Linked DNA regions of Arabidopsis thaliana. The protein of the gene in region 1 interacts with the protein of each later gene in a pairwise test. Each region holds a gene or a part of one and is shown in the gene's direction. Other genes may lie near its edges.

The links.
Region 2: the proteins of APL (region 1) and AT3G58630 interact in a two-hybrid assay, tested with the Arabidopsis thaliana proteins (one large-scale study listed by BioGRID).

Annotation. Positions count from the first base shown.
Region 1 is NC_003070.9:29,870,055-29,886,060, reverse strand, and holds APL (Homeodomain-like superfamily protein), read left to right. Parts: upstream 1-6,781; 5' UTR 6,782-6,925; coding exon 6,926-7,100; exon of another isoform or gene 7,101-7,190; coding exon 7,191-7,267; intron 7,268-7,403; coding exon 7,404-7,470; intron 7,471-7,599; coding exon 7,600-7,666; intron 7,667-7,752; coding exon 7,753-7,795; intron 7,796-7,892; coding exon 7,893-8,540; 3' UTR 8,541-8,833; downstream 8,834-16,006. Other genes in the region: ALDH5F1 (aldehyde dehydrogenase 5F1), read left to right, coding at 1-71, 427-489, 610-720, 1,102-1,167, 1,279-1,356, 1,452-1,529, 1,792-1,858, 1,933-2,018 and 7 more; AT1G79420 (C-type mannose receptor (DUF620)), read right to left, coding at 11,895-12,434, 13,396-13,755, 14,171-14,524. UniProt on the Arabidopsis thaliana protein: Transcription factor required for phloem identity. Has a dual role both in promoting phloem differentiation and in repressing xylem differentiation during vascular development. Regulates the expression of the transcription factor NAC045 (AC A4VCM0).
Region 2 is NC_003074.8:21,676,638-21,692,639, reverse strand, and holds AT3G58630 (sequence-specific DNA binding transcription factor), read left to right. Parts: upstream 1-6,600; 5' UTR 6,601-6,868; coding exon 6,869-7,793; coding exon of another isoform or gene 7,794-7,804; exon of another isoform or gene 7,805-8,671; coding exon 8,672-8,712; 3' UTR 8,713-8,714; intron 8,715-8,818; 3' UTR 8,819-9,110; downstream 9,111-16,002. Other genes in the region: AT3G58640 (Mitogen activated protein kinase kinase kinase-like protein), read left to right, coding at 1-213, 356-559, 1,096-1,269, 1,452-1,711, 1,859-1,978, 2,106-2,195, 2,292-2,387, 2,629-2,721 and 8 more; TTL4 (tetratricopetide-repeat thioredoxin-like 4), read right to left, coding at 9,681-9,833, 9,918-10,024, 10,110-10,311, 10,387-10,723, 10,827-11,008, 11,106-11,301, 11,372-12,243.

The DNA of each region.
Region 1 (16,006 bases):
AGGCAAAACGTGTATATGGTGATATAATTCCTCCGAATCTGTCTGATCGCCGACTGTTGGTTCTAAAACAGGTTTCCCCATTCATGCTTCTATATTTAATACATGCAGCTTTTTTGTAGTGACATAGTTCTGCACCCTAAGCTTAACTTGTAGGTGCGTAGTTAAATAATTGCCAGGCTATCTGGGCTTGGAAACCTGTGACTTGGCTCTGCATTCCCACACCTTCCCAAGAATTTTTTTTTGCAATTTTCTAAGTCTTGTAGCAATGTGATATGAACTTGGAGAACCTTAACCTTGCTTTGCGAATTCCATTTTATATGTGGATATTCCTCGTGTACTTTTTTTTCCATGCAATGTGGCTGTATTTGTAATCGCAAGTGTTTACTATACATCTCAATTGCTTGACTCTCTTGATTTTCTTTGCAGCCTGTCGGTGTTGTTGGTGCAATTACCCCTTGGAACTTCCCCTTAGCCATGATTACTCGGAAGGTCTTGCTTTTTTTACCATTCCAATTTACCTTCTTCTTTCTGTAAATAGCTGCCTAGTACCCAGTGAGTATGTAGAACTTTTTTCATTAAATTTGATGTAGATGGTAAATGGTATTGTAGGTCGGCCCTGCTCTTGCTTCTGGATGCACGGTGGTTGTTAAACCATCTGAACTTACGCCCCTAACAGCACTTGCTGCGGCTGAACTTGCACTTCAAGCTGGAGTTCCTCCGGTAATCTTTTATATTAGGCTTGAACTATACAACCAACTAGCGTCTCTGGTCACATCTAGATGGATTTCCTCATGTCAGGGAAATAACCAATAATGTGTTAAGTTCGAACACAGTAGTCTTTCCGTTTTACATGTAATCTGATTTGAATATTTGATCAGCCCATCTCCAAGAGTTTGTATTGTCGTCAATGTGGCTACTATCTGATGTATGGACCCATTGATGTAGGATTAAGTGGTTTAAAGGCTAGTTTTTTACGAAGTTTCTTTTGTGCTAATGAACTCTTTGGGCAGACCATCTCTTTAGGGTTTTGCTCTTTTTTTTTTTTTTTTTTTTTTGTATTTGTAACACTTCATGTTTCATTTGCATTATTATTTTCAATAGGGGGCACTTAATGTGGTCATGGGAAATGCTCCTGAAATTGGGGATGCTTTGCTTACGAGTCCACAGGTTTCTCTAATCATATTTGTGTACATTCTGTTATTTGTATCTATGCCACTAGTAGTGAATTTTGATAAGTATCCTTATTAATTGACTGCTTTTGTTTCTCGTGCTACTCAGGTGAGAAAAATCACGTTCACGGGATCAACAGCAGTTGGGAAGAAGTTGATGGCAGCTGCTGCACCTACCGTCAAGAAGGTATACTTAAGCAACGATATCATGCTATTTAAAATAATATTCTCTAGAATCTAGATTGAATACCCCCTGGTACCTCTTCTTTTTTATTGGTGTAGGTTTCTCTAGAACTTGGCGGCAACGCACCCTCTATAGTATTTGATGATGCAGACCTGGATGTAGCTGTAAAAGGAACGGTAAGTAATAGTCATAAGGTTGAAGGCATTTCTTTATCCAAAAGATGCAAAAACGTTGATTCATCTGGAATTACTCAGAACTGACAGTATCCCGTCTCTTTTCCATACTAGATGTGTATATAGTTTTACTGCTTATATAGATACTTATGTCCATGATCCACCTATCCCAGCTCTTAGTTTCAAGCTCAATTTTCTTAGTGGTGCACTATGGGATCTTCAATACCCTAAAACATTATATTACCCATTTGATCTGTGATTGCAGCTTGCAGCGAAATTTAGGAATAGTGGTCAGACATGTGTTTGTGCGAACAGAGTACTTGTGCAAGATGGTAAGAATTGGGATACTCGGCACACCCCTCAGGATCTTGCATCCAGTGTTAATATAATTATATTTTTTCCGCAGGTATCTATGATAAATTTGCTGAGGCCTTTTCTGAAGCGGTTCAAAAATTAGAAGTAGGAGATGGGTTTAGGGATGGGACAACCCAGGTATGTCCTTTTTCGATCTTATGCTTCTGCTTTGTGATGTTATACCCTTGATGATTGAGGGGGTTACAAGAAATATGAGAATTTCACGTTCATGTACCTTATTTCTACGTTCTGTCGAGTAGCATCCCAAGCGATTTGATTTTAAAATTAACTGAGTCTCTTGTGTGCTCTACTATTTTGCTGTTAATCTATTTGTCGCTTCAAAATTCTTACAGGGTCCACTTATAAATGATGCAGCAGTGCAAAAGGTACATTCTATTAATAATACTTTGCAGATTCCGTTTTTCATGCACAACAATAATGTTTGATGACAGAATGTTTATAGTCTTCATGCTTGATAATTTCAGGTAGAGACATTTGTACAAGATGCTGTTTCTAAGGTTTGTATTTTACCTTATGCATCCTTGCTAATCCTTGATTTCTAAGCAATGCAGTTCATATATTCTATTTGTATTCAGCCAAAAACAATTCTTGTATTGCCAATACTAACACAAGTACTCTGTTCAAGTAAAATCTTATTTATTGGTGTCTTCTTTTTAAAGGGAGCAAAAATCATCATTGGTGGCAAAAGGCACAGTCTAGGGATGACTTTCTATGAGCCTACTGTTATCCGCGATGTTTCGGATAACATGATCATGTCTAAGTAAGTACTGAAAAATTTCACATAATTGCAGTGTTACAGCTTCTTGTATCTCTAAAGAACGAGTTATAGAAACATAGTGTTCCTCGCATTTTTGTGATCAGAAGAACTAATTTACTTTTTCTAGGGAGGAGATTTTTGGACCTGTAGCTCCCCTTATTCGGTTCAAAACCGAGGAGGACGCTATCAGAATTGCTAATGACACAATTGCAGGTTTGTCCTCATTTAATCTTGGTAACCTTTTTCTTTTACTTGTCGAGTCTTAGGCTAACATAATAAGTGGAAATGTGTCTTGTGTGTGTATGTGTGTGCAGGACTTGCTGCTTATATATTCACAAACAGTGTCCAAAGATCTTGGCGTGTATTTGAAGCACTTGAATATGGACTTGTAGGGGTGAACGAAGGACTCATATCAACAGAGGTAAGACCAGGGATGAAAGAACCACGTTCTCCTAATTATAGCCATACATATGCTTACATCTTTTGATTGCAGGTGGCTCCATTCGGGGGAGTGAAGCAGTCTGGTCTTGGAAGGGAAGGATCCAAGTATGGTATGGACGAATACCTTGAGGTAACTCACAACACTCATTTCTCTCTTATTGAACTCGCTTCAGTTGATAGGTCTTATATAATATTAGAAATCTACGTAATAAAGTCTGCAAGGTTATAGCCTTATAGGTGGTTAGTTTTACATTTTCCTGTCATGCGATTGCTCCCAAACTCCAACTATAACACAGAGACTATCGATGCGAATCTGTCTTTTGAATTGTTTATAAGCATAAAGTTTTGCAAATTACTACTTTTCATTTATTGATTCTGGGCTCTTGGCTTTGACGCAGATCAAATACGTATGCTTGGGAGATATGAATAGACACTGATTTGGTTTGTTTGAAAAGCTTTAGAAATTGTAAGTTTTTCTCCTCCACTCGTATCCTTCTAATAAAAGCTTACTGTGGAACATAATAAGGATTCGGAGGATACTTCTTAAGAAATAAAGATTTGGTCTACGACCAATTGTTAGCATGATTTTTAAGTAATAATTTGGGGTTTCCATTTTATTTATCTTTGTTTACGTTATTTTTTTCTTTGTTTTACGTTAATTTTTGTAATTCGGACAATTTTTGCTTTGGATATACCCAAAAAAATAAAAAAATAAACGTTGTTGTTCTTTGCTTCATTTATCAGCAATTTTTAGAAATCGATTGGGTTTATTTTTCTTTTTTCATCAGTATCTTGTCATTACTATTTATAAACGCTTTATGTCTCATGTGACAATGTTTTGGAGGATTATGACTTATTAACAGTCGATCGATTTATCGAATTTAGTGTTATATATTAAAATATTAATTATTCAAAAAAATTGGATCAGTTATGTTTCAAAATAGCGTTAGATTACATGGCTCTATGCCAAAGTTGGGATTTTATTTTTGTTTGTAGTTTTTTTAAGTGGGGAAAAGATAAGAAGGTTAGAAGGAATATATTCATTTCGGAGAAGAAATCCCAAAGCACCATCACAAAAAGATGCTTGAAGTTCAAGCAACTGTGGCCTCTATTTTTTTATAAGCCGACTTACTTTATTGTCACTAATTTCATTTCTTTCTTTCTTTAAGCTCTTAGTTTGCTTCAACAACAATTAGCTAAAAGTTAAACATTAGCTTTACTTGGTTTAACTAAAAACAAAAACTTTGGTTTCTTTTTTTCAAAGCAAAATACAATTTAGCTTAAAATCATTATTGAAAACATTAATAAAGAAAGATGAGAACTTAAATGATTTTAGGGCGGATGATTTGCTAATGCTAATATGCATCATATCACTATGAATCAATTTTGTAGATAATAGTGATGATGATTGTGAAAACACAAATATCGTGATAATATAAGTAGGAATAATATATGTGTGTATCTATACTCAAAAAGTGGTAAGAAAAAATAAAAAGTCTAGTAAACTATGTAAATGTGGCTGGCCAAGTTTATACGGTTGGCATCTATCGCGGGAGTTGTATTTTCATTTTTTAATATTGTTGGCGCAATAAGAATCTATCTTTATTCATCAAAGAGGAGAAGAATCGATTCCAATTCTCATGCAATTTGAACTTTGATTTAATATTTAAATTCAAAAGTTATAACCATTTTCTTATTTTATCTTGGTCAGAATTGTGTGCGGTAATTGATTAATTTAATTTATTGTACAAATAATTCGTTTCACAGCCAAGATTTTTAACATTTCTGGCAAAGAAAAACACTGTTTTTTTATTTATTCCAAGAAATTAATATCTGAAAAATGTGTTACCATGTATAGCTGCACAATCGTCAGTCCTACAAAAGCCAAAAAAGGTTATAGCCCCAGCAAGCTTTAACCAATAAATTAAAATGGAGAAAAGAAGAAAAACATATGGTAAAAATAAAAAGAATAAAAGAGCTTTAATAAGTAGAAGAAGAGGTCCCCAACGTTAACTCTATCTTTACACATTGATGCATAATTCTCCACATATTAATAGTCCGTGTTTATAATATGTATAACTTTAAAAAATTGTTCCATATTCTTATGTTAATTTTTTTGTTTTAATTCAATATTCATTGACTGGTATTGGTCTACATTTTAACATGTACATGCTTTCCCTTAATTAATACTTAATATATAACCTCTAATAAATTTCTGATTCAATTCAAATTTTATTCTTAGATAATATTCTCTCTTTTTTGTGTGTGCATATCAGCCTCAGCCATATTCATTGACTTATTCTTGTTCTATGTAAATATGCTATGGGACCTCCCACTCATATATATTTAGGTTGACCATTTATTTTACATGCATGCAATTGAATTTAGGGGTTAATCTAAATCGTTGCGTATATGAATTATATATGATTTTAGTTTGTATATTGAAAAATGCATCGTCGTTCTATACATAAGCTAGTTTAGTAGCTAATAGGGCAATATTAACAAAGTTGATTTTCTGGTTTGTAGTGTCCATACAAGTAATTTAGTTAATTATCTCGTTTGTTCACCTTTTTGTTTCTTTTTTCTTTTGCTAGCTAGTTAATTGCGGATGTAAACTACATCTTTTACTAATCGATGAATGGAAAACGTTTTTGTCGTAGACAAATATTCCACCGTACCTAACGGTTTTGGATTGCATGTATATAATAAATTTGTTCCAAAAATATACGGTCTATTAATTTATAACGAAGCTCATCATTGCTTAGAATTGTATATTCACCTCATAATTAGCCAAAAAGGTTTACCCTACCATAAATGATAAAATCCCTAGCCTTGTGGAATTTGTTTCGTTAAGATATTTGTATGTATGCCTCCAATTACGATATATGACGATGTAGACAAACTATAAGTCTAGTATACGACTCTCCTCGTGCGGTCTTAATTGAATAGAATACATAGAACTTTAATATATTCACTTTAAAAGTTTATATTTTCCTATAAAGAAAATATTTACAAATCTTTGATTACTATTTACTCCAAATCAAGCATGATTAAGAAAATAGTATATAGAACAATTGTATGATAAATTTGGATTTAAAAATTACTTCTAAATTATAAGGTAGTAAAGAAAAAGAAACCAAAAATATAAGAATAATAGATGTGCAATATCTTTGATTCAGGTGAATTATATTTTAACTTAGATATCTCAAGTCATTTTAATGTTTATATCAGGAAATAAAGAAATAAAAACCATCATGCAACAAATCATGCATATATATTAGATACATCCGTAACCGCTTTTTTTCGTCTTTTTTTTTTGTTTTTTTCGTCGTCACATCCATAACCGTTTTGATATGAGATCTCCGATGTTCAAAATTCAATTTCCCCCAAAGATATCAATTTAATATCTAATATATACTATTATTTTAAGTTTGCGCAGTAATTTAATAATCTGAGACAGACATGATTTACTTAATGTATACGTATAGTGGCTTTTACACACATTTTATATTGAAAGAAATTCAAAGGTATTCAAGCTAAGAGGATAAAAAACACAAATGAAAAAGATAGCGACAGTATCTTTTCACAAAGGAACGTCTGTGTACTAGTCTGAAACTTTAGTTCTCTTCCTTACTAACGATAAAACATATTTAACTAAACCATAATTTATTTACAAACAAAACAAAAAAGACGAGAGAGAGAAAAAAAAGCCGTCATCTGATCTCTTCAAAAACGCATCGTATTCTCTCACATTTTTGCATCACATTCGTTTCTTGAATCCCCTCTTTCAGAGAGAGAAAGAGAGTCAGAGAGAGAGAGAGAGAGAATGTTCCATGCTAAGAAACCTTCAAGTATGAATGGTTCATATGAGAACAGAGCTATGTGCGTTCAAGGCGATTCAGGCCTTGTCCTCACCACCGACCCTAAACCGCGTTTGCGTTGGACCGTCGAACTCCACGAGCGTTTTGTGGACGCCGTCGCTCAGCTCGGCGGCCCCGACAGTATGAACACACATACACAAATATATATTCAATCCATTTAACCAATTATAAATGTGTTTTTTCAAAGTTTTTGATCATTTCTATTTGCAGAAGCGACCCCAAAGACGATTATGAGAGTTATGGGTGTGAAGGGTCTTACTCTTTACCACCTAAAGAGCCATCTTCAGGTATGTACACAAATATAGATTAGGGTTTTTTTCTTCCTTGCTTTTAATTTTCTCTCCTCTTTATCTTTTCTATTCTTTTTTTCACTTAATAATATAATATAATAATCTAACAACTTATTTGGATCTATGGGTGCAGAAATTCAGGCTTGGAAAGCAGCCGCACAAGGAGTACGGAGATCACTCCACAAAGGAAGGTTCAAGAGGTGACCACTCTTCCTTTCTCTATCAAATTAGGGTTTTTATAAAAAAGTTACCCATAATATAGATATGTATTAATGTATATATATGTTCTTTGATCCGTCTTCTTCTAATTTTTTTTACCGTACGTGTAGCTTCTGCCATGGATATTCAGCGCAACGTAGCTTCTTCTTCTGGCATGATGAGTCGCAACATGAATGAGTAATATTTTAATCAGATTTCGTTAATTTTCTCAACTTTCATTTTAATATATATTACAGCAACTCACACCAGGTTGGTTTGATCAGGATGCAAATGGAAGTGCAGAGAAGGTTGCATGAACAGCTAGAGGTAATTAATTAACCTATAGATATTCTATGATAACTGCTTGTACAAAATCAATTTGTATCCCATAAATATAGTAAATGATTTCATTCAATTTTTATAGGTGCAAAGACATCTGCAACTGAGGATTGAAGCACAAGGAAAGTACATGCAATCTATCTTGGAGAGAGCTTGCCAAACCCTAGCCGGTGAGAACATGGCAGCCGCCACCGCAGCAGCCGCCGTCGGAGGAGGATACAAGGGTAATCTGGGAAGTTCGAGTCTTTCAGCAGCGGTGGGCCCACCTCCTCATCCTCTTAGTTTCCCGCCGTTTCAAGACCTAAACATCTATGGAAACACAACCGACCAAGTCCTCGACCATCACAACTTCCATCATCAAAACATAGAGAACCATTTCACGGGTAACAATGCTGCAGACACCAACATTTACTTGGGGAAGAAGCGACCTAATCCTAATTTTGGTAACGATGTAAGGAAAGGACTATTGATGTGGTCTGATCAAGATCACGATCTTTCCGCAAACCAATCGATCGATGATGAGCATAGAATTCAGATACAGATGGCTACACATGTCTCCACGGATTTGGATTCTTTGTCGGAGATCTACGAAAGGAAATCAGGTTTATCAGGTGATGAAGGGAATAATGGTGGGAAATTACTGGAAAGGCCATCGCCTAGGAGATCACCATTGAGTCCTATGATGAACCCTAATGGTGGATTAATACAAGGAAGAAACTCGCCATTTGGGTGATACAATTTATTAATTTTTATCTATGAGTGATGCATGGGAATGTAAGAACGAGATATATATGTTTTGTCATTGTGAGTTTGACGTAGGGTTTAGAGATGAGACAAAACAAAACAAAACAAAAAAAAATAAAAAATATATAAGCTTTGTTATGTTTACCGGATTAGTTTTGCTCGTGTTTTATAATCTGTACGGAAACTATATATTATTGCTGTTCTTATAATATTTTAGGATCTATATATTTTGTACTTATTCGTTACTTATTTCTTCTAGTCAACTGTTTGATGATTGATCTTTACATTGTTAGTCTCAGTAGAATTGCCGAATATATGTTTTGTTATTCTTTTATCACCCACATAAAATCTGTAGTTGCCTTTTATGGTTAACTAGCTATTTTCATATTCTATGTTTGATAGCTTTTTTTAATGGCAATTTCAAATAAATTAAGTTTAATTTCTTACATCCGCAATTTTATTTCATATGTACATACTTGTACGATTTTCATATTTGACAGTTTGCCAATTAGAGGCATATAAAATGTGAATGTACTAAAGTATATCTAGTACATGTATATGATAAATCAGTACATATGTATATTACCTTAACCAGTATATATATCCCATGCATGAACGTAACTGTATATATGACAAATAATAAACATTTATGTGTTAAGAGCTAGGTTGCTCATGTTTCAAGGCATGTACGATATTTTAAAGCTTTTGAAGGGCCCTTTGCTTTTTCATGAGTTAGTTATTTCTATCTCAAGTTAGTTTGTACTTGATGCCTTATATATGATTACGCTAAAATGGGATATCTGCATCGGGAAACTAAATTTTCAATCAAACTTAAAAATAAAGTTTATGGTAAAAAAAAATCATAAGTAAATACGAAAAAGAAAGGACAGCGCAAGTGATAATGATGATGATGATCCCCATCAAAGCAAAAGGTTTTTAGGGTTTTGGGAAAACCACATGCAAACACCAAGAAAAGCTGTAAACTTTGATTCAAATGTATATATAGTCACTTGATTTTGTAGGATACTACTATGTATATGTGTATGCAGTTGTACGCATATGTAAGTAAGTGTGTATGTAGAGATTGATAGCTACAAGATCCTTTTCAAAAGAAATAAAAGAACTTGTCATAAGAGAAATTAACCGACACTGAGTATCTATCTTTCCTTCCGTATATATCTTTGTTCTTTATTCTTTTATTTCTTTTCTGCTTCATATGACCACTAATTAGGACATATATTTATACAAAAGAAAATTATTACACTGATCATTCTTAATTGAATTTCAGGAGCTTAGTTATAGATCTTACAAACATCGGGAAAAAATGTTTGTAATTCAGAATTTTTGCTCTGCTATGATTTTTACTTACTCGATGCATCCATTTAGTCACAACTACAAATTACGGCTCATATATGTATATGTTTATATAAATTATTACTGATCAACTTTGTTGGGTTCAGAGAGAGAAAATATAAAGATCTGGTCATCACTGCAAGTTGGCAAGTAAAAGAGAAAGCTCTCTCAGTCTCTCTCACTCTCTCTAAAAGCTGAGGAAAACAAAAGGCAAAAAGAGAATTGAAGAAGAAGAAGGAGAAGCATAGAGATATTAACGCACTCCCATGTATGCACTTCTCGAGGAAGCTTCTCTTCTCCTTTTACATACGCCCCCACTAATTCCCTCTAATTACGTTCCTCGGTTTTTTTCCTTCTATTTAATTAATTGGATTTGAAGACAAAAAAGAGTAGACGACCATGTAATAATAATTAAAAACAAAAAAAAATAAATCAGATAAATTTCTTTTATTTATTTATTATTATAAAAATACTATATAAATTATAACTAAAAATAATTATTATTTGGGGATACATTTGAAATATCATATACTTTATCAATAAATTAGTTATGGTACAATAATCAATTTAATTGTGAAGATGCATTATATACAAAGTGGATCCGACGAAATGACGATGATGCATGTTTTGTGAATATTCATTTCACAATAAAATCACACCAACCACAAGTTAATTATTATAACTATTCGGTGCTTTTTAATATATATCCATCTGAACATCTCATTCTGTTACTTTTTTTTTTCGCATTCACATGCATAAACGTGCATGTGATCGTAGCTTTACTTGTATATCATAATTTTAAATAGGCTAATAGTAAAGCTAATGTTTGTACACATATCATATGGTAATTATTATGGTTGTTAAGCAAACTAAAGTACTTATAATAAACAAATAAAGTAATAAAGGTAACGGTCTTGGATGGTCTATGCACATTCTTCCATACAAATCCTCTGTAGGCACCTCATTACGATCTCGACCTTGGATTCCATTTTCTACTCCCTTACTTCTTCTGTTTTCCAAAAAAAAAAAAAAAAGAAGAAGAAGAAGATAATATACTTCTTTTTGATATTCTATATTTTTCAAAATGATACTTTATTTTTGGTATGTGTTGATGTAGAATGCTCTCTTAACAAAGTACATTCCCGAAGCATCTATTTTTCTTGTCCCTTCTTTCTCTACTGTCGTCATTTTTCCATTACTTCTAAGTTCTAACCTATTTTGAGTATTTTCCAAAAAATTCAAATAACTATTCATATATTTTTATTACGGAAAGAAAAATAAATCATTAGATTTGTTACATTAAAAAAAAAAAAAAAGAATAGAGAAGAAAAGCCCATTTGCATCAGTTTCTTGTTTACGCTGAAGAATCAGACTGGGCTTCCATATAATGCCCACTAAGATAAGTCCAATAAGAATGTTATATATCCTCCCTAGTACGAAAAAGGAAAATCCCTAGTTGAGAATCATCAATCCGATTGGCGGTAATGACGATTCTGGTTTCGTGTTGTGACCATTTCCGATCTTGAGAATTAATCGTAGACTTTTAGTAACCAAGTTAACCTTAGAAATTGTTTGACTGGTTGCTCATATCACTAAATTTCCGCATATAGGGTTTTATTCAGAAATTTATGGAGAAAAATTAGAGTACTCATGTCGTGGGTTCTGATTTGACTCTCTTGTACCAGGAATAATATGGGTATCATTAAGGGAAATCTGAGGCCTTAGTTAGTTTGTATGATTTTTTTTTGCTTGATTTAATTTCAGGAAAATGAATGGTTTTTACTTAAAATCCAATAACTTTTAAACGAACGATTCTGATTTCTCCAACCCAATCCAATATTAGAACTCGTCATAATCTTACAAGCTTACAACCCAAAATAACAAAACATGGATTTTTAGATTTTATAGAACAAACATGTACATACATATACCATCAACGAATTAACCCACCAATAAAATTGTTTTCTGGTTATTAAACTAGTCCACATAATCATCGGGAATTAACAATACTGTAAATATTATTATTGTTAGGGTTAGTATCTTCAAATATATCGGCGGGAGGAATAAAGGAGTCCAAAGAGAGACCAGGCACATCGAAAACGACGTCGTCTATCCTCCAAATCTCCTCCATCCTCGTTCTGCTATACTGCAACGACGTCTCCCCAAATCGGAACACCGTCGCGACGGCACGACCACAATGCGCGACGGCTACTCCGTCAACGTCACGGTAATCTCCGATGCTTGTTCCGATCGTCGTCTCCCAGTAAACCGCCTCGTCCTCAGGCGAGATCGTCATAACCCTAGTGAGGTGCGAATCCTCTAAATAGACTAATAGACCGCTTTTCTGACAGAAGTATCCGTACAGTGCGTGGCGTATAACCTCCGCCGGAGCTCCGGCGTCATTCCGTTCTAACAACGAGTCACGATCGGCGGAGACTTTGAGCACGAAACAGTCATCGTCGCCGATTCTTCGTTCGCCTAAGCATTGGGCCTTTGCGAATAGGCTTGCTGTGGTTTTTGGGTCCAAGCCCTGTAGCCCAATTACAAAAACAAACGGGTTTATTAAAAAAATATTCACAAATATCTTTATCAAAAAAAACAGAAAAGGAAATTCACAAATATATTGATTTTGTGTTACTTAATTTAAATAAATTATACTACTATCCAAGAAAAATGTGTCCGGCAAATATTCGTTGGGGTTTGAACGACAAGAACAATAAAGCAAAAGATTTAAAAGAAAGAAAGAAAGAAAGAAAGATAAAGTGAAAGACAAACTTTGATAATCCCAAGAAGTTCCCCCACTTTAAAAATTGAATGAATGTGTAAGATCGTATTCATGATGAAGCATATAGTACATTACATAGGGTTTCAATACTATTAGTATAATGTCATATTATTTAAACCAATAATTGTACACAGTCACTTAACAATGCGCTCTGAATCTCTGACAATTTAATTATTTCACTATCTTTTAGAAATACCCCAATAATAATAAATAATCTAGGACAAGAACCTCATACCTTGCTAAAAAAGGAACTAAAACTTGAACCATTAGCAAAACATTTTGTAAATAGTAAGTATACGGACTAATCTTAAAGAACAAAAAAAACAAATATACGATTCAATAACAGATGACGTCACGTGACAAGAAAGGAGAAAACCACGTGTGGTGGTGGGAGAGTCAAGAGTGGGTGAATGGGGTTTTGTTTGATTTTGAAGTTTCAAGAGAAAGCAAGCAAAAGGAGGAGACAGCTTCTCCATCACTTGTCAGGTTAGTATTTGTTTTTTTTTTCAAATAATATTATTAGCTTATTGGACAGCGACCACTCTTTTTCCTACCACGTCCTTATCTCTTGGACAATCTTATTACGTCATCTCTCCTTTTTGCCAAGTTTATGCAATTATTTTCTTCTAAATCAATGTTAATACTATTTTTACTAACTAAAGTTATGTTTTGTAGTATTTTCGAGTAATTATCAACATGAAATTACCTGGATTAGACGACGAAGTGGACGTTGAGGGCCTTTAGCGGCGTGAGTACCGAGCCATGGCGTATGGCGCCAAACTGTTTTACCGTCCGAGCCAGAGATGAGTTTAGTTCCACCGAGAACAAGCTCCAGAGACCACATTCCAGGCTGCATCTGCCACAGCACGAAGCAACCACTATCTCCGCTCCTACCGTTTCCACCACCGCCTAGTGTCTTCACACTTTTTCCGGCGGCTATCTCCGTCTCACAGCAACTCATTTTCATTATCCCCGTCGCGTACATGTTTTTCGCCGCCTTCGCTCGCTTTAGACATCCCGTCGCCGCTAAGTATTGTTGTATTATATAATGCGCTGTCGACGTCTCCTGTAATTATACTTATGTATTATTAATTAACAATCCACATCATACTAATTACTTTGCATAATCAAATGGCAAAAAAAATCATTGGTCTCAGTGATGTTTTAACAGACAAACAAATTACATGTTGATTTCACATGTTTTGGCCCATAACAAAATTATTAACCTTTGAACATTTTTTCAACCAATCTTATCTCAAAGATAACTATTCAGACGACTTTGTTTGGCCAATTCAAATAATTAATATAAACCTACCGTTTGAAATTTCGACACAACAAATAACCAGAAAATATTTTTTTTTTCTTTTTCTCAAAGGAACAAGATAGAAATATAATAAATTAAGAAACACAAATAAAATTTGTATACTGAAAATAAATAAATAAATATAAACCAAAGAGAGGGAATAATTAGTAATACTCACAAATGGGACATTCTTGATTTGGAAAGAACCAAGAAGAGGGTCATCGGGAAATAGGTCAGAGACGACAACGGAGATTGGAGCAAGAGGACAACCCAAGACGCCGAGCAAGAGCCTCAAGTCTTGTCCCTTAGCTGGCACGTCATAGCTGTTGCAAAGTGGTTGGACCGAAGGAGATGACATATTTCCAGAAATGCCCTTATGAACCTTAAACCATTCTCTAATTGCTTCCCATGAGCTCTCCTTCTTGGTTCTTTCGTCTTGCATGTCTGGATCTGGTCCTTCCATTAACGGTGTTAGGGCTTGTGGCGGCGTTCCCCATCTTTGCTTTCTCCAGTATGACTTTGAGTTGCTCATTCTAATCAAAGAGTGATGGTGATCAGTCTGATGTTTGTGACGTTCTTTTTTTTTGTTTGAATATCTAACACAATGGTTTTTGTAATGGATAGCGATTATTGGCGTATTTATATATATGTATAGAGATGTATATGTGTGTAGAGAGAGACAAAAGGGACATTTTATCAGTCTAGCGGTCCCAGAAGTTTAACATTATAATTTTAAATTCATGGGAAGAAGCTTATAGTAATTAGTTCGAATATTGACAATAAAAAATAACTTATTTGGGGTTTTAAGGTTTCTTTAAAAATTTAATTAATTCTTGAAACTACGTATGGCTACTTGTTGTATGTTATATAATCTGCGTCTAATAGTAATAGACTATGTTTTATATAATTGGTAAACCGTGTAAGTATTCTGCGTGATATTGATTTTTGTATATTCAGCATTCAGCTATATATGTGACAAAATTATGTAAGTTTTATATGAATTTGTCTTGTCATTTAACTGTATTATATGGTTTTATTTTGTCGTATGGAAAATCAAGAGTTATGTTACAAATGTGTGTGTTTCCCAACTTGTTTTCTGCAAATATGTTATCTATCTATCTTGAAGAGACAATGTATCTATAATTAGTCATACGTGGAAAGGAAATGTGGAACAGCGACTAATAACATGGAATAAAATCCGAGTCATGTGAATAGATCCGATCCGTGCAGTTTCTTTTTGTACACTATGGGCTCTCCTTTTGAGTCTTCGATCACACACTTTTTTGGTCCTTTAAATTTGAATATCATATTAGCTCGATTAGCATATGATCTTTGTCTTGTCTTTCGAGGATATCTAGGCTAATCATTTTAATTTAATTGTAATTACGATCTCTAGGTATGATCTTTCTTGGAAAATGACACTACACCCAGTGATATATATTACTGTGGATTAATGAATTTTTAATACTGTTTGTAGTTTTCTTTTTGTCAAATAAGAGATGTTGTGTCTTTTTATAAAGGGCCCATTTAAAAGATACTATATCAAATACAATTTTTATCTTTTATTTTTGTTGTTCTTTTTCACCTTTTATTCTCCGGATGTCTTGGGATTCGAACTCACTTAAATTCCTCATAGAAACCAAAACATTGAGCACTAATTTTCCTATAATCTCATATAAATGTGGATAAAAAAATTATGCATACATAAATAAGATTATTTGAAAATATTGAAATAGTGATTAGTTAATACCTAAAACATAATACTAACAACATAACCCTAATGCATATCAAATGAATAATAAACATTTGAACAATATGTATATATAATATATGCATATTCAACACAAGGTGGCAAGTCACCAGTGAGAATGGTGGCGGTAGATGAACATAGATAATCTTATAAGCCAAGCTTATAATAATTTATTTTACTATTCAATTTGATAGTCCCCTTTCTTTATTCGTTATATTATATATAACATAATTTCTTGGCGAATTATGACAAAAACAAAAAAAA
Region 2 (16,002 bases), on another chromosome or scaffold:
CAAGGACCTTCTAATCAAACCTGGTGGCCTTCAGAATTTGTGGAGAAATTTGGTTCTGTTTATCTGGGATCGCAAGAAGAGACATCTAGTACTAAAGACTCACCTAGAAATCTTGGGCAAGATGGGCTGCCATCTAGTACTGCTTCGAATATTCTTTGGAGTACTGGTTCACTTTCTGAGCCCATCCCAAATGGCTTCTACTCTGTGATCCCGGTAAGCTACTTTTATTTTGATATTAGATCTGTTCAATGATTTTTTGAGTGAAATTCATTCGAACTCGATTAACTTCTGTTACCTGTCAAGAATCTTTTTTATTTGCTTCCTTTGACAATGTTTATATTTCAATCTTCTACAGGATAATAGATTGAAGCAGCTATTTAATAACATTCCTACATTGGAAGATCTTCATGCTCTGGGTGACGAAGGTCTTAAGGCTGATGTGATTCTAGTTGATTTTCAGAAAGATAAAAAGCTTTTCAGGCAGAAGCAGTTGATTACCAAACTTGTCAGTGGATTGAACTCAAAGCCAGCTACTATTATTAAGAAAATTGCTGGACTGGTAAGAGTATTTGACATATCTTTTATAATCGACATGCTCAAAATTTGTTTCATGTATGAAATCACTTAATAACCATATTGTTTTTCCATTTTAAAGTTGCATGCAAAAACAGTGATCATAAATGGATAAAAATTGAGGTAGGAAGAGTTGTGACTAGTTGTCTGTCTAATGAAAAGTGATGCTGAGAGTGTCCGTTATAATACTAATAGAAGCCACATTGATCTTAACGTCTTCTATGTTTTCAAAATTGGTGAAACTATCAATAGAATCCTGCTGTGGTTCAAGATAAAGTTCCCCAGACTATTTAGATTCTTGCCTTCAATCTTTCTCTAATTCCACTTGTAAGTTGTGCTTACTTGGGAAAAGCGTTAAATTAGGAAATACGTATCTTTGTTTGCTTGACTTTTTCTCTTGTATCCCCTATTAGTCTATACAGGGGACATTGAATTGTTATTGATGCGGTAAGAGCAAGCATTTCATAAATCTTGTTAACTCCTTTTACTTATCTGAAAACCTTTGTCGAAATTGGCTGGCAGGTAGCAGATGTTTATAAGCAATCAACTCTGCAGAGTCCAGCAAAAAGTACGCAGTCATTTGAAAACTGTGGTATTCAACTGCTAGGACAGATCAAGCATGGTTCTTGTCGTCCTCGAGCAATCTTGTTCAAAGTCTTAGCTGATACTGTTGGCCTGCAAAGTCGACTTGTAGTGGTAAGTGCTAAGTACCATACAAAAATGTGATCAGTGGGCTTGAGTATCACTCCATTTTGGCTTGTGATTGATTAGGTTTGATTAATGTTATTCTCGAAAAAAGTATTCATCGTGGCTTAAATTTCTGAATATTTTGATCACCTTTTAACATCCTTTGCATTATGACTGATTTGTTTGATCAGGGTTTGCCAAGTGATGGAGCTGCTGAGAGTGTGGACTCATATAGTCATATTTCTGTCACTGTTTTGCTGAATTCTGTGGAAATGCTGGTTGACCTAATGCGATTTCCTGGTCAGCTTATTCCTCTATCAACCAAAGCAATTTTTATGAGTCATATCTCAGCGGCAGGGGAAAGTGATTCTGCAGAGAATGACTCTTGTGATTCACCTTTGGAGCCAAACAGTCCCATGTTTGGTTATCCAGAGAAATTTGACCATGAAAAGTAAGTAGATGTTGAAGTTTTAAATTGTAAAATCTCACTGCATGAACATGCAGGATATAAGTATAGTGTGTACCATATTTTACTGCACCTTCTGTTCAATACTCAGTGTTTTGTTGTGCAGAGTTTCTAATGATTGGTGTTGTACAGTGCAGAAAAAGATGAAAACCTTTCGTTGCACAGGAAACTGGATGGGTCTCCAAATACGTCTGGTCCACCATCAAGGAATATGCTGTTACGATCTGCCTCTGCGCTAGAGAGGAAATTAAGGTGATAAGCCTACTTGTTATTATTATTTTTTTGTGCTAACCAACCCCAGGTTTGAATATAGCTTCTGGTAAACCAAGCAGTGGAATAGATGACCGTATGTCATTAGTATTTATCTTTTATTCTTCAGTTTCTCACAGAGCGAGTCAAACATGGCTAACGAGTTTTGGCGGCAGAGCCGGAGGAAGGTCATTGCTGATCAGCGGACTGCTAGTTCCAGGTACTCTCATCCCCGTTGAATTGTATATGTATATGCATTTTTGAACCAAGTTCCAATCTAATTTCTTAGATCGTTTTTGATATATCTCGTCTGAAGTCCCGAACATCTTTCCTTCCGAGCCCGTACAAAGTCCATGCTAAGTGGCGACAAGAACTTGGCACGAGATTTCACCGGGGATGTTGCCACATCAAGGTTCGTTATGGTTTTTGTCCTTTGTAACTTAGATTATGTTGGAGAGGTCTTTGCAGACTTGATTTGAGCTTTTAGTTTTATAAATATGCAATATATTGCTGCAAGAGGGTATGTTGTTTGTTGGTGTCTCGTTTAGTGCTTACCGAGTTCTTTTGTCTAGTTTTTGTGGGTGTCAGAGAACCTTGTTCTCATGCCTAAAGTTTGTTAAAAAAATGCTTATGTATTCAGTTTTCACGTGCAGCTGCAAATCTGTTGGAGGAGCAAAAATGGAAACTAAGAGAATAAGGAGGAGAAGCATCAGTATAACTCCTGAGATTGGCGATGATATTGTCAGGTGGGTGTTTAGTTTATTGCTCATTGAACTTCATGTGCATGGCAAAGCTAGTATGATGTTTTTTTTAACTATCTGCATTTTGGGTTACATATATAGTTCCCCTCATAACATTCTTCTCTGACTTCAATATATAATTATTTCCAGTGATAGGTTGCAGTTGTATACAGTTTCACCATATATTTTTTTCTCAGTTGTGATTTCATACATGATGTTTAGGACAAAATTAATGGTACACTCTTATGGTAAATATTAAAAGAATGCCAAGAGAGGGGCGTTCTTTTTCTAACTTGGGATCTCATACATCACTGCACGAGCATGTGATTGTATAACATTCCATATATGGAACTAAAAGTTTTAGCAATTGCAATGGTTGTTACCTCTCATTCAGATTTATTGACCATTAACTATTTGGAACACGGAGCTTCAGTGTTTTTGGTAATTATTATATTGATAACTTTATTTTTAAAATTACCTGTTAATCTTTATCAGGGCAGTACGAGCGATGAATGAAGCCTTGAAGCAGAATCGCCTCTCAAAAGAGCAAGGGGATGATGATTCATCTCCTAACTCTCCAAATGACAGAACCGAGAGCTCTCATCTCCAGAAAAATGTACGCTAAGCTTATTAATATACATCACTGAAATATATTGAGAAATTTGGCTATGCTGCTTGCTTGGAATCATAATAGTTTTACTGAAAACAAAGAAACTTGGGCTGCAACAGAATACCAAACCGTGTCTCTTTTCTCGTTGACTAAGTTGAAAGTGGAAGTCCTGAATTTCACGAAATGAAAGAAAAATCCTAGAATATGCTGCGTTGTGATTTTTAGGAAATAAAAATTTCTGTTTCAACAACAACGCACAATGATCAATTTCAAGTAGATGTTTATCAAACATGCTTAAAATTATGATTCTTGGAAACGTTCACTCATTTTGGATAACGACTTATAAATTTGTGGCTTAACTAGACTTCTCTGCTTCTAGGTCTCTGGTTTTCATCTTGATGCCCATGACCAAGTTTCTGGTGGAAGGTCGACACTTTCAAGGGAACCACTAGATCCGCAGAAGGCAATCTCACTACCTTCTTCTCCCCAGAACTACCGAAGCCAATATGAACAGAGTGGATCGTCACATCGCAATATAAGCCACATCTGGGATAAAGTATTGGGATCTCCCATGTTCCAGAATAAGCCATTATTACCTTATGAAGAATGGAACATAGACTTCTCTGAGCTGACTGTTGGGACACGTGTCGGAATTGGTTAGGATCTTTAGCTCAATGTTTTCGAATTTATGTGTTCTTAAAAAAATTGTTGGCCATAAGTTTCCTTAAGAGAAACGTCTAGTTATCTTACTTCACGATCCTTACCCTCGTATTTATCTATCTTCAAAAGTTTACTTTTTTTTTTTGAATTAGTAACCCATCTAAATCTTCTTCGTTGATTTTTCCTTCCAGGATTTTTCGGAGAAGTATTCCGTGGGATCTGGAACGGGACAGACGTTGCTATCAAAGTGTTCCTTGAGCAAGACCTTACAGCTGAGAACATGGAGGATTTCTGCAATGAGATATCAATTCTTAGGTATGTCTATAGGCTTTCTCTGTTTTATTCAAAATTGGCAATAACGTCTTTACTTGTCTTCTGACTTTCTTTCCTGCCTTCTCCTTCTGCGTCCAAATAACCACTAGCCGACTTAGACATCCCAATGGTACTAAACTACTCATCTATCTCTATGAATTTTCACTGTGAGATTTTAGTATATGTTTTCATCAATGCATGCATCTTCGACTTCTTGTAGTTATACTGTTCCTTGGAGCATGCACAAAGCCTCCACGATTATCACTGATCACTGAGTACATGGAAATGGGATCTTTGTATTACTTGCTCCACTTGAGTGGACAAAAAAAGAGGTTAAGCTGGCGGAGGAAGCTAAAGATGCTGCGGGACATTTGCAGGTAATTTCATCTTCCATACAAAACCGTGTATCCTTCTTTCCAACATAGTATGTAGTATTAATATGGAAAATTTTGGTTTGAGGAGAAGGCAATAACACTTCCAAATAGGACCTGGAATTGTGTCTCGATGAGAAAGTTTCGTAATCATCTTTAATTAACAAACAGCGTTTAAACTTGTAAAATGTTGCTAGGGGATTGATGTGTATACACCGGATGGGGATAGTACACCGTGATATAAAGAGTGCAAACTGTCTTTTGAGCAACAAATGGACAGTCAAGATCTGTGATTTTGGGCTGTCGAGAATAATGACAGGGACAACAATGAGAGACACAGTCTCTGCAGGAACTCCAGAGTGGATGGCTCCTGAACTTATCCGCAATGAGCCCTTCTCAGAAAAGTGTGATATCTTCAGTTTAGGTGTAATAATGTGGGAGCTATGCACTTTAACCAGACCTTGGGAAGGAGTACCGCCTGAACGGGTAACTTAACTGAACAAGAAGAAGACTCTTTAGTGACATATGTGTATATATAACAAGTTTCCTCATATTTCTTCTCAGGTTGTTTATGCTATTGCTTACGAGGGAGCTCGGCTTGAGATTCCTGAAGGACCACTGGGAAAGCTTATTGCAGGTCTTGTGACTTGTCAAAGTGTTGTTATTTCGTTTTTCCTGAAGCTTTGTTTGGGGTTTATGGAGTATCCTTTTCTGATGTGTTGTCTCTTGTTCGCAGATTGTTGGACAGAACCGGAACAAAGACCGAGTTGCAATGAGATACTCTCTCGTTTGCTGGATTGTGAGTATTCGCTTTGCTAACTTTCTCTCAATCATATTTTCCTTCTGTGAATATAAAACTTTGCAGCGAGAGAGGTTTTTGTTTTCTTCGTTTCTTTTTTTTGAATATTGTTGGCTTTCTCCTTTGAGTTTGTACAAAAGAACTTTGGCGCTTTCACATCCACAAAAAGCTTTGTGGAACTCTTTTCCGTTTAATCATTTGCAAATTCGTAAATTTCAAAACCTCTGAAACAAAAAAGTAAGTCTTATAAATTTTACAAAAGGTGAGAAGAGTTGCTCATTCTTTCAGTTTAAATGATCAAGCTTGCTACTCTTTTTCGTACCATAAGGTTTGTTCCCTGCTTTGCATTTGCTATAAGAAAATTACGGACAAATACATGTACTTTTCGTTTATATTTCGTGCCTTAAGAAATGAAAAGGAGCTTTGATTGACAAAGAAAAAAGAGCAAACTACAGTTTTTGCAGAACTTCTAGTTATTTAAAGAAAAAACGATTTTATGTTCGTAGCCGTAATTTGTCATTACCTATTTGACAACAACATACATTCTAGTACCGAGTTTAAATTCGGTGATATAACAACGATACTAGTAGTTCGCGTTACCCATTTAGCTTATCACCTAAACACACAAAACTTAGAATAACTTATTCTAATATAGCAATGTGTCATTAACTTACAAAAATAGATCGTTTGATCATATTCTACTTGGCAGTACTATCATTACATTTTACGGAAACTAAACCAAACATCTAACGAGCCATATCCGATTTTTTAATTAGCTTTGATTTTTCTCTACAATCTACAGTTTCAGAAATTTCACCATGCTATAAATTTGTCAATTACATACTATTTAGGATGTGATACCAATTCATTTGGAACCGTTATCATATTCTAATTAAGTTAGACAACAAAAAAAAAGGAAAATATCAACCAAAACTTACATATTATATTACCAACGATTCACCCAAAAAAAAAATATATTACCAACGATTCATAATGAAATTTAATTAGAACTACCACACATAATATTACTAATTAACTTTAGACTTATCAAATTGCATATTAAAATGAATATTTAAAGCTTTTGTAAGAAAAAAAAATATAGAGAAATATTATCTTGTTCGGTAGTCAACATTAACAAAATAAAATAAAAATTAAAACGTTTTAGCTGTTAAAAAATAAAAACCAAATTAACGATGTATATAAATTAGCTAGAGCTGGCTCGTTTAGTCTGGCTCACGGTTTAGTACATGCACACAAAGCAAAAACGCTGGTTTGTCTTTTTAAAAAAAAAGAACTTCGTTTCTCTTCAATTCCGTTACCGTCACTGTCACCGTTCACCTCCGTTTATCTCATCCTCACCGTTCATCTTCTTCGATCTAACTCGCCGTCGTTCACCTTATAATGGACACCGTCAACGATTCCTTTTCGCCGGGATCTTCCCGACCTTCGCCGGCGACGCTTTCTCGTGAAGATTGCTGGAGCGAGGAAGCGACCTTCACGCTCATCCAAGCCTGGGGTAATCGCTACGTCGACCTCAGCCGAGGTAATCTCCGTCAGAAACACTGGCAAGAGGTGGCTAACGCCGTTAACGACCGTCACTACAACACCGGTCGAAACGTTTCCGCCGCCAAATCGCAGCCGTATCGCACCGACGTTCAGTGTAAAAACCGGATCGATACTCTGAAGAAGAAGTACAAAGTCGAGAAGGCTAGGGTTTCGGAATCCAATCCCGGTGCCTACATCAGCCCTTGGCCTTTCTTCTCCGCTCTCGATGACCTTCTCCGGGAAAGCTTTCCGACGTCTAGTAATCCTGATTCAACTGATAACATCCCGCACCAGAGGCTATCACTTCCGATGTCCATTAATCCAGTTCCGGTCGCTCCACGATCGGCGATCCCCAGACGTCCGGCGACATCGCCGGCGATTATACCTCACGCCGGTGACGATTTACTCGGATTTCGCGGGAATCTCAACGCATTCGCGGCAGCCGCAGCGGCGGCGGCGTGTCCGGCGTCTGAAGATGACTCGGAAGGTTCAAGGTCTAGATCGAGCGGTCGTAGCGGGAGTAACAAGAAGCGGGAGAGGAAAATTGAGAAGAAGCAAGGCTACAAGGAAGTTGCCGACGCAATTGAGAGGCTTGGACAGATATACGAGAGAGTCGAGGAGAAGAAGAGGAAGGAAATGGTTGAATTGGAGAAGCAGAGAATGAGATTCGCTAAGGAATTGGAATGCCATAGGATGCAACTGTTCACGGAGATGCAGGTACGTCTTCATAAGCTCCGGCGTACCTCTGGCTCCAAAGGACCGACTTCCTCCGCCTCCGCCGGTGAGACCTGAATCCTTTCTCTCGCCGTATTTCGTAATCTGTTCAGAATTCTATGTCTTTCTCCATTGTTTAGCTGTGTAACAGTGACTATAGCATAAGAGTAGAAACAAATTTTACCTTTTTACTTGTGATAGTCTCTGTGCCAACGACGGCTATAATAAACCCAATCAAAGTACAAGAACAAATTGATATCGCACAGAGATGATGAATCTGAACAAAAATAAACTAATTAGTAGCAAGTATTGGTATTCATGGTAAGGAGGAGGTCCTGGTTACATTTTTCTCCTAGATGTTGTTGCTTTGTTACTTGTGTTTCTTGTAATTATAGTCTGAGTGTGGAAAGTTTTTCTACAATGACTGATGTGAGCATTAGTTGGGAAGCAGTTCATGAGCTAGAAACTTGAATCTGCTTCTGTTTGTTGTTAAGCATGAGTGCTTTGTGAAGTGTTTTGAGTGTGATGCCCAGTAAGTTTTGAGTGTAGAGTAGCCTTTTTGTTGGTTAGTTGATTGAGAAGATTGTGAGTTTACATGCTAACTGCTTCGAAAGTTAGGAAATAATGGGTATGGATGTTTGAAAAGAGAATGCATGATATGTGGAAGGATTTTTCGGATGCATCAACCATTAGTTTCTGACATATAGTCTCAGGAGACAAAATTTGATTTTTTTTTGGATGCATCAAATCTTTCCTGCAACTTGGCTATGGCATTACACGACAGACATTTGTTTCTTTCGTTTTCGCTTGGTCCATATTTCTTTACTTGTTAGTCACCTGCTAATTTGATGAATTCCTCTTTGCATTACATGTTTGACCACTAGAACAAATTATCAGCAGCAGGTCTATGTATGAATAATAAGTGAACTTTTTCTGTTTATGCAGCTCTTGATTATGGGATGATGGATTTCCCTAGTTACTTCTAGAGGTACGACTCCTTTATTTATATTTAAAACTCCCTAGTCGATCAAAACTTTGCCTATGTACAAAATGTGTAGACTTGTTGGGCTAAGTCGTTGGTTTTGTTTGCAGCATCATGAGTTTGTGATTGTAGCCATTTTGATGAAGATGAGAGAAAGTCAGCGTTCTTCCACCAACCAATAGAAGATATGGTAACAAAGAAACATGAGTTTCTCTTTGTTTTGTAAATTTTAACCCTTTTAGAAGATTCCGATTCCAACCCAGGATTGAAAAAAAAATTGGTGACGTTATATTGGTATATCTACACAATGAAACAGTACAAGAAACAGTTTTCAGCAAAATTATATTGGTTAGTATTGTTTGGTATTTCTTAGTTTGTGTTCTAATTTATGATTTAATGAGGTGGAAAATAAAAAAAAAATCTTCAGGGATATACCGCTATATCCTAGTAATTCATTATTTATCTATTACAAATCTCAAGTTCTCAACTCCATAACATGTTAAGTTTAAGAGACTTTAATATGAAATGTTAAGAACTTGAGATTCATAACCTTTGCCCAAAATGTGAGGCAAATCATTTTTGCTCTCATTGAGACTTTGTCATAGTTTGTGTTCTGTATTGGCGCCTCAAATTCCTTCTATGAAACTATAGTTTATTTGTCAATGGATATTTTATTGAAAGCAGTGTTATTACAAGTAACCCAGCCCACCAGGACCCATTTGTAATAAGTAAGAGTTTCTAAAACAAACAAAAATAAGAAAACCAAATGAACCATTAAATTGGGGCCTTTTTGCATGAACGATAATTGAGAAACATGCATTTTCCTCGGATTAATACAATCGGAGCAGGTTTCAATATGATAATACAGTAAAGCAAAACAAAAGAATGAAAATTTCAATTAACAAAATGGCTCTTTGAATCAATTTACGTTCGTGAAGACTAAAGATTTGAAAGAATGAGAAGAGAGATATGTTATAAGAGGAAATGCGTAACAGAGTCCTCTAGTAACTGATGACTAGGACATACCATTTCCTTCACTTTCTCTCCCTTCTTATAAATCTTAAACGTTGGAATTTTCTTGATGCTCTCTGCTTTCGCCAATGCCAAGCTCTCCTCTACGTCCACCTATAGACAAACAAACCCCGTTAAAGCGTTAGACCAAAAACGATAACCATTTTGCGCGATTGAGCATAAGAACAAGTGACTTGCCTTGAAAAAATGTACTAATGGATACCGTAAGCATAAAGTGTTGACGAATGGAGATATTGCTTCGCTTTGCCGGTTTGATGATGATTTGAAATGAAACACAGAGATTCCTGAAAAATATTTCCATTTTTTTTTGTTTAGCAAAGAGAGGAATCTTGAAACTAACACTTGCAAAGTGAGTTAGCTAGTTTATACCGGGCAGTGATGTTGCGGTCTTGAACTTATCTAAGGTCGAAACTTCTTCAACTTCGTTATTGAATCCCAAATATTTAGGTTCTTCGGATTTGTTCGATAGAGCGTTCCTTGCTCTCTGTAAAGACTCAGCAACCTCACTGTCTCCTGGAAGTTCCTTTCTCAATACTTCATAATCTCTGACCGCATCCTCCCATCGGCCAAGCTGCATTTAACATTTGTTAATCCAAATACTTAATTAGAAACTCGGTTCAAAACCATTCAGTGTCTTCAATCTAACCTTTCCATACGAAGCAGCTCTTCGGAGAAGAGCTTTGGTGTAACTAGGCTGAATTCTTAGCGCTTGATTACAATCATCAACAGATTTCTCCCACATACCGAGTTTAAACCAACATGCCGCTCTATTACAATACAAAACCGAATTGAAAGCATCCAACTTGAGTCCGTCCCCATAAGCCACACTCGCTTCCGAGTATCTCCCCGAACTAAAAAGCTCGTTTCCTCGGGTACGAGCTTTCGCCACATTCTTCACATTGTTTAAGACCGATACTACCTCGGGACTATTGCTATGATCAATCGTCATGGCTCTCTCCACCTTTACAATCGCATTCTCAAATCTGCAACAAACCTAACATCTCTACTCACTCACCCAAGAACCAAACAAGACTACTAATAAAGAATCAAAAACACCATTCGAAGTTTAAGCATTTCGAAGCTCACCTTCCTAACGCCATATCAACTTGAGCTTGAACACAGAGCACATAAGCATCACATACTATACCAAATAGTTTCTCAGGTGGTTGAGTATGGTGATGATCCAATCTCGGAATGCTGGATATACACAAATCTGAATCCTTTATCTGATGAAGCCGCAAAAAGGCTTCAGCTTTACAAGCTACAAGCTGCACAAGATCAAACCTCATTGTTTAAAAGATAAAGTCTTTTCGCTGATAATTCAACCACAAAAGAGGCAATCAATGCCACTTTTTGATCTCTAACCTGAGGAGAAGAATCAGCTCCATTTGCAATGGCTGCATCGATTTCGCTAATCACCGTTCTCCAATCACCGATCTTTCGAGCCTCCGTACACAGTCTGAGATGCTTCTCAAGCGTCTGCAACCTCTGCAAATCAGCTTGATCGGGACATTGTCCGGAAACACAAAGATGACGTCTCGCATTCTCAGCTTCTCCCAATCTAAAACCAAACCAATCAAATACTAATCCTTTTTCAATCAAAACTTTTTAAAGGATAGAATTTTTTTTACCTTAGATAAAGAGAAGCGAGTCTCTGATGAGCTCTAGCGTAAGAAGGATCACATCTCACAGCTTCAAGGCATTCTTTAACTGCTTCTTCTAACCTCCCTGACGCAGCCAACGCTGCCGCACGATTGCTTCTATAAGCTGGATTTTCCGGTGACAATGAGATAGCTCTGTCGTAAAGAGCCAATGCCTCGGCGTAATTCCCTTTCCTATACATTACGTTACCTGCCTTCTTCACCTCCTCTGAGTCACTCATTTCCGCCGCCGCTTTCGTCGCGTGACTCACCTTTCCGCCGGTGCGGATGATGTTTCCGTGGCCGTAGTTGGCCGTGCCTGTGCATAGAGTCTCGGGTCTAACGGAGGCTCGTGTAGCCATTCCGGTTTTTAAGATCCTTCCCGATGGACAAATGTTTCCGGTAGGTAAAACGCCGGGGTTCGGCGAAGTAGCCCCGCTTCCTCCGCCGCGAGAACTGTTATTGTTATTGTTCACCGGAGAGAACCCCAAACCGGAATAAATCAACGGCGTTCCAGCGGAAGCGGATCTTCTGTGACCCGGTTTCAAATTCCGGTTCACGGATCCGGGTTTAACCGGACTGGTCTGGCTTAAACCGGAAAGCTCGCCGGAGTGACTCCGTCTAGCAAACTGAGAAGTGACAGCGGGTTTTCCGGAAGCAGAACCAGAGGAGCTTGAACTGCTGCCACTAGCGGCGGGAGTGGCAGCGGCGGAGGAGGAGCCACGAGGCCTCAACGGAGAACCAAAATCGAGTTCTCGGAAATCTGGTTTGTTGATGACGTCATCGTCTCGTTGGAAACTCAAAGAATCACGGAATTTACTGGTAATGGAAGGTTCTAGCGAATGTCTTCTATAATGTGACATCTTCTCGAAACCAAAGCCTCAGAATCAATAAACACAGAGAATCAAGAAGAAGAATTGGTGAAGAGAGAGAAGAGAGATTGTTGTGATATATATAAAAAGGAAGCAGAAGAATGAGAATGAAGATGTTGAAATCAAAAATAATTTTAGATTACCGTTAAAAAAATATTATTAGTTTAAGTAAAACGACTAATTGTCAGATTAAGACATTGATCTTTCTTAGTGTTCATCACGAGCTTCTCTTATCTTCCCCGACTTCCGTGTGTTTCACGGCTGCTTGTCTGCTAAAAATTCGGTAATTTTATGCAAAATTTTTATTAAAAAAAATATAATCATTTTAGATATCATGTACTATAGAGACTGACTGTGTCTGTGTCTGTATGTAATGGTTGACTTTAGAGTTTGTTTATGTTTGAACAGAATCTAGATTGAAACTTGTATTTGCCGACCACAAAAAAATCCGGAATTCATAAAAGTCAAAATAAAATGTTATCTTGAATTTTTTTTTTGCGGTAAATACGAGATCTTACATGTTTATGAAGCACAGTCAGGAAAGAAAAAGGAAAAAAAAAACTCAGAAGTGTCTTCTTCTTGTTGTTGTATCTAGGTTCAAACAATTACTATGCAACCATATAATATGTTCGGTGTAAATACTACATAAGGACAACTTCCATTAAGAATCACTCTTTTTTTTCTTTTCTTTTTGTGAAAGCAAATGATGGAAAACGAATCAAATTATGTAACGCATAGAAAATAAATGGATCGTCATATGTATTTATTACAAAATTTTAAATTAATACTGTTGTAATGTGTAATGAGTATATGCAGCTTGAAACGAAAATGCCACCTCGGATTTTGACCCCTCGTATTAGAGTCAGAGACCTCAAAAGGGTAAAGTCAACTTTTAGGCCATAAAATAAATTTGGATTTTGAAGTTTGCGTGTGTTTTTTTTCCCACTACATACGACTATCAATTTATGTGCTCATAGAAATTATTATATATATATACACTTACATTGATCTAAGTTAAAAATTATATTCGTTTGCACATGAAAATGGGAAAATACAACATATTTTTATATGTAGAGTAGGGCAAAAGAACAGAAAAGAAAAGCAGAAAAATAGGGAAAATAAAGCAAAAGAGAAGTGAAGGCTCATTTACTGATGCATAGCTGGCATTTCACTCGAAAAAGCCTGCTAATTTTTATCTTCTTTCTTGGATTAATAACACAAATATTCATTTATCAAAATTTAATCAGTGTTCTGATATATTTACCATTTCTATATATACTCTATGGTTCCGTAGCTTACTAAAATAAATGGATGTAGAACGAAGAAAACAGAAATATTAGGAAAGCGCTATATAGGGGTAAAATAGTAAATATAGGACGACGCTGGCCACGTGCGAGAGTGACCATGCCAGCTGTTTCGCTACAGTTGCCAGCTAAGCACGCCGAATAAACATTTTAACGGAACCGGACGGAATATTATGAAAGCGGTCCCCCAATCCCGCCGAACCGACGATATGGGCAATTTCTCCATACCGGACGGTCCGTGACATGATTGTCTCCAAATTTTGGATCAATCGAACCGGCTTTTTTCAAACCTTGACCCAAAATAGCAAGTATAATAAATAGAAATATCAAGTACATTATTCATAAGAAATAGAAAATAAAAATTTGGTCCCCGACTAAAAAAAAAAAAATCATTGACCGAGAGACACCTTTCACTGTTTCACACTCTAACAATAATGAACATTTTAAACTCAAATATCGAATTATTCACTCCAAAAAATACATCGAAAAAAGTCACACCCAAGTAGAAGTGAGGCACTAGTTGAAAGATCCCATAAGCTAAATTTAAATCTGTGATACTTGTACTGGTGTTGGCCGCAACATTTGACCCAATCATAAAAACGACAAAGAGGAAATGGTGAGTAACATAACATTTCAAATATGGAATTGAGTACTTAATTAGCTGGTAATTACGGCACTTGACATCTTCTTAGACCGTCACTAAATTAATTGTTAAGTTCATCATACTCAGTAAACAAAATAACAAGATTTGGGTTCAAAGAAACAAAACAAAGGAGAAATAATTAAGGAAAGACAAAAACAGAAGGGAAAAAAAAAGAAGAGAAAATCTCCTTTTCCCTCCGTTTGGGGAACACACTTTATCTATAATTAAGTTTAATAATTTGTTAAGAAAATTAATGGAAGTGTGATGCTCGTAATTTCTTTCTCAAGGCCTTAATTATTGTTGGTGCTGTGCTGGATGAACATGGACCCACATTTGTAAGATTCGAAGGTGACGTGTGCTATATTTCACGATCACTGTGGATGAATGAGAAATGGTTGCACTGTTGCGGAAAAGTTTCCCGTAATCGCGTAGGAAATCGATTTTTTTTCCAGTGATGCTTTTGCCTTGGTCACTTGAAGATTTCACCAAATGACGATGTTAACTTATTAGTCGTAAACTCTGCAGTATCTGTCAATTTAATTTTAGTTTTTGTTAAAAATATTCACACATATATAGAACATATACATGCAAAGTTGCAAACCCAATAACTGGGTCATATACATTATATTAAAGGAGAAACTATTCGTTCTAATAACTTATTCAAATGTGGAGTTGGAGACATTTTTTATTACTGAAAAAACTACTTGTTTGAAGAATCATTCAGAGTTTCACACACTACAACGATCTAGGCACCTAAAAATAAACATATAGTTCTAGCAATTATTTATCTAAGCATATCACATTGTATATTCTGTTTTGGTCTAAAGGTATTTGTAATTGAATAGAGTAAATAAACACAATGATCCCTAATACTAAATATACAACGACAAATAAACCACGTATGGGTGGCTATTATCTGGTTTTCAATATTTGTTCTTCTTATTTTTTGTTTTGTCAATATCTGGTTTTCTAATTATTTGATCAATAATTTAAATTAACGACAAACTACGCTTAGCTAAGCTCGATCCTCCTTATGGTCATTAAGGGTATCCAATGTTCCATCATATTCATTTTTCTTATTTTAGTTTCATAACCAAATGATGTCAGTGCAAATACACTAAGCAAGAATATATGTAGATCGCATTACCGTCCAACTCGCTTTTTTTTTTAATAGAAATAAAAATGTTGCACGTTTAATCGAGACTGCTAGACAGTGTTAACTATATTATCTGATTCTAACAAGATTTACTTTTTGATGTACAATACAAGTATGCGAAAACAAAATACATATATATTAGATTTGTTCCAAAGATGTTGCTTGAATTCAAATGATTTATTAATTTATGTACCAATTAAATTGTATTGTTTTAGTAGTATCGCGTCATGGTTGACGGGAGACAATGATCGATAAGTTTTTCTATAACTCAAAACAACGGTCGATTTTATACTATTTGTGTGGCACTGTCATGTTGCATATACACATATTTATGAACATACGTTTTTCTATTTATATAATTCTATATTTACAATCGAGAGGTTGCGGATTTCAACTTCTAATTTTCTTAAATCCGAACTAGTTTTGATAATTTATGTGAATGTTCAAATCATTATTCGATGCATGTTAAAACTAATCAATAACAAGTAGTACTATTGATATTGTTGGGTTTATATTATAACCCCCAAATTATACAGTTATATAAGTAACCAAAACAATTAATCAAACTAACAACATTATTGCAATGATCCTAATTGGTTGCCACCTGAGGCTATATGCTCGAGCATGTGATGAGCATATGCTCACAA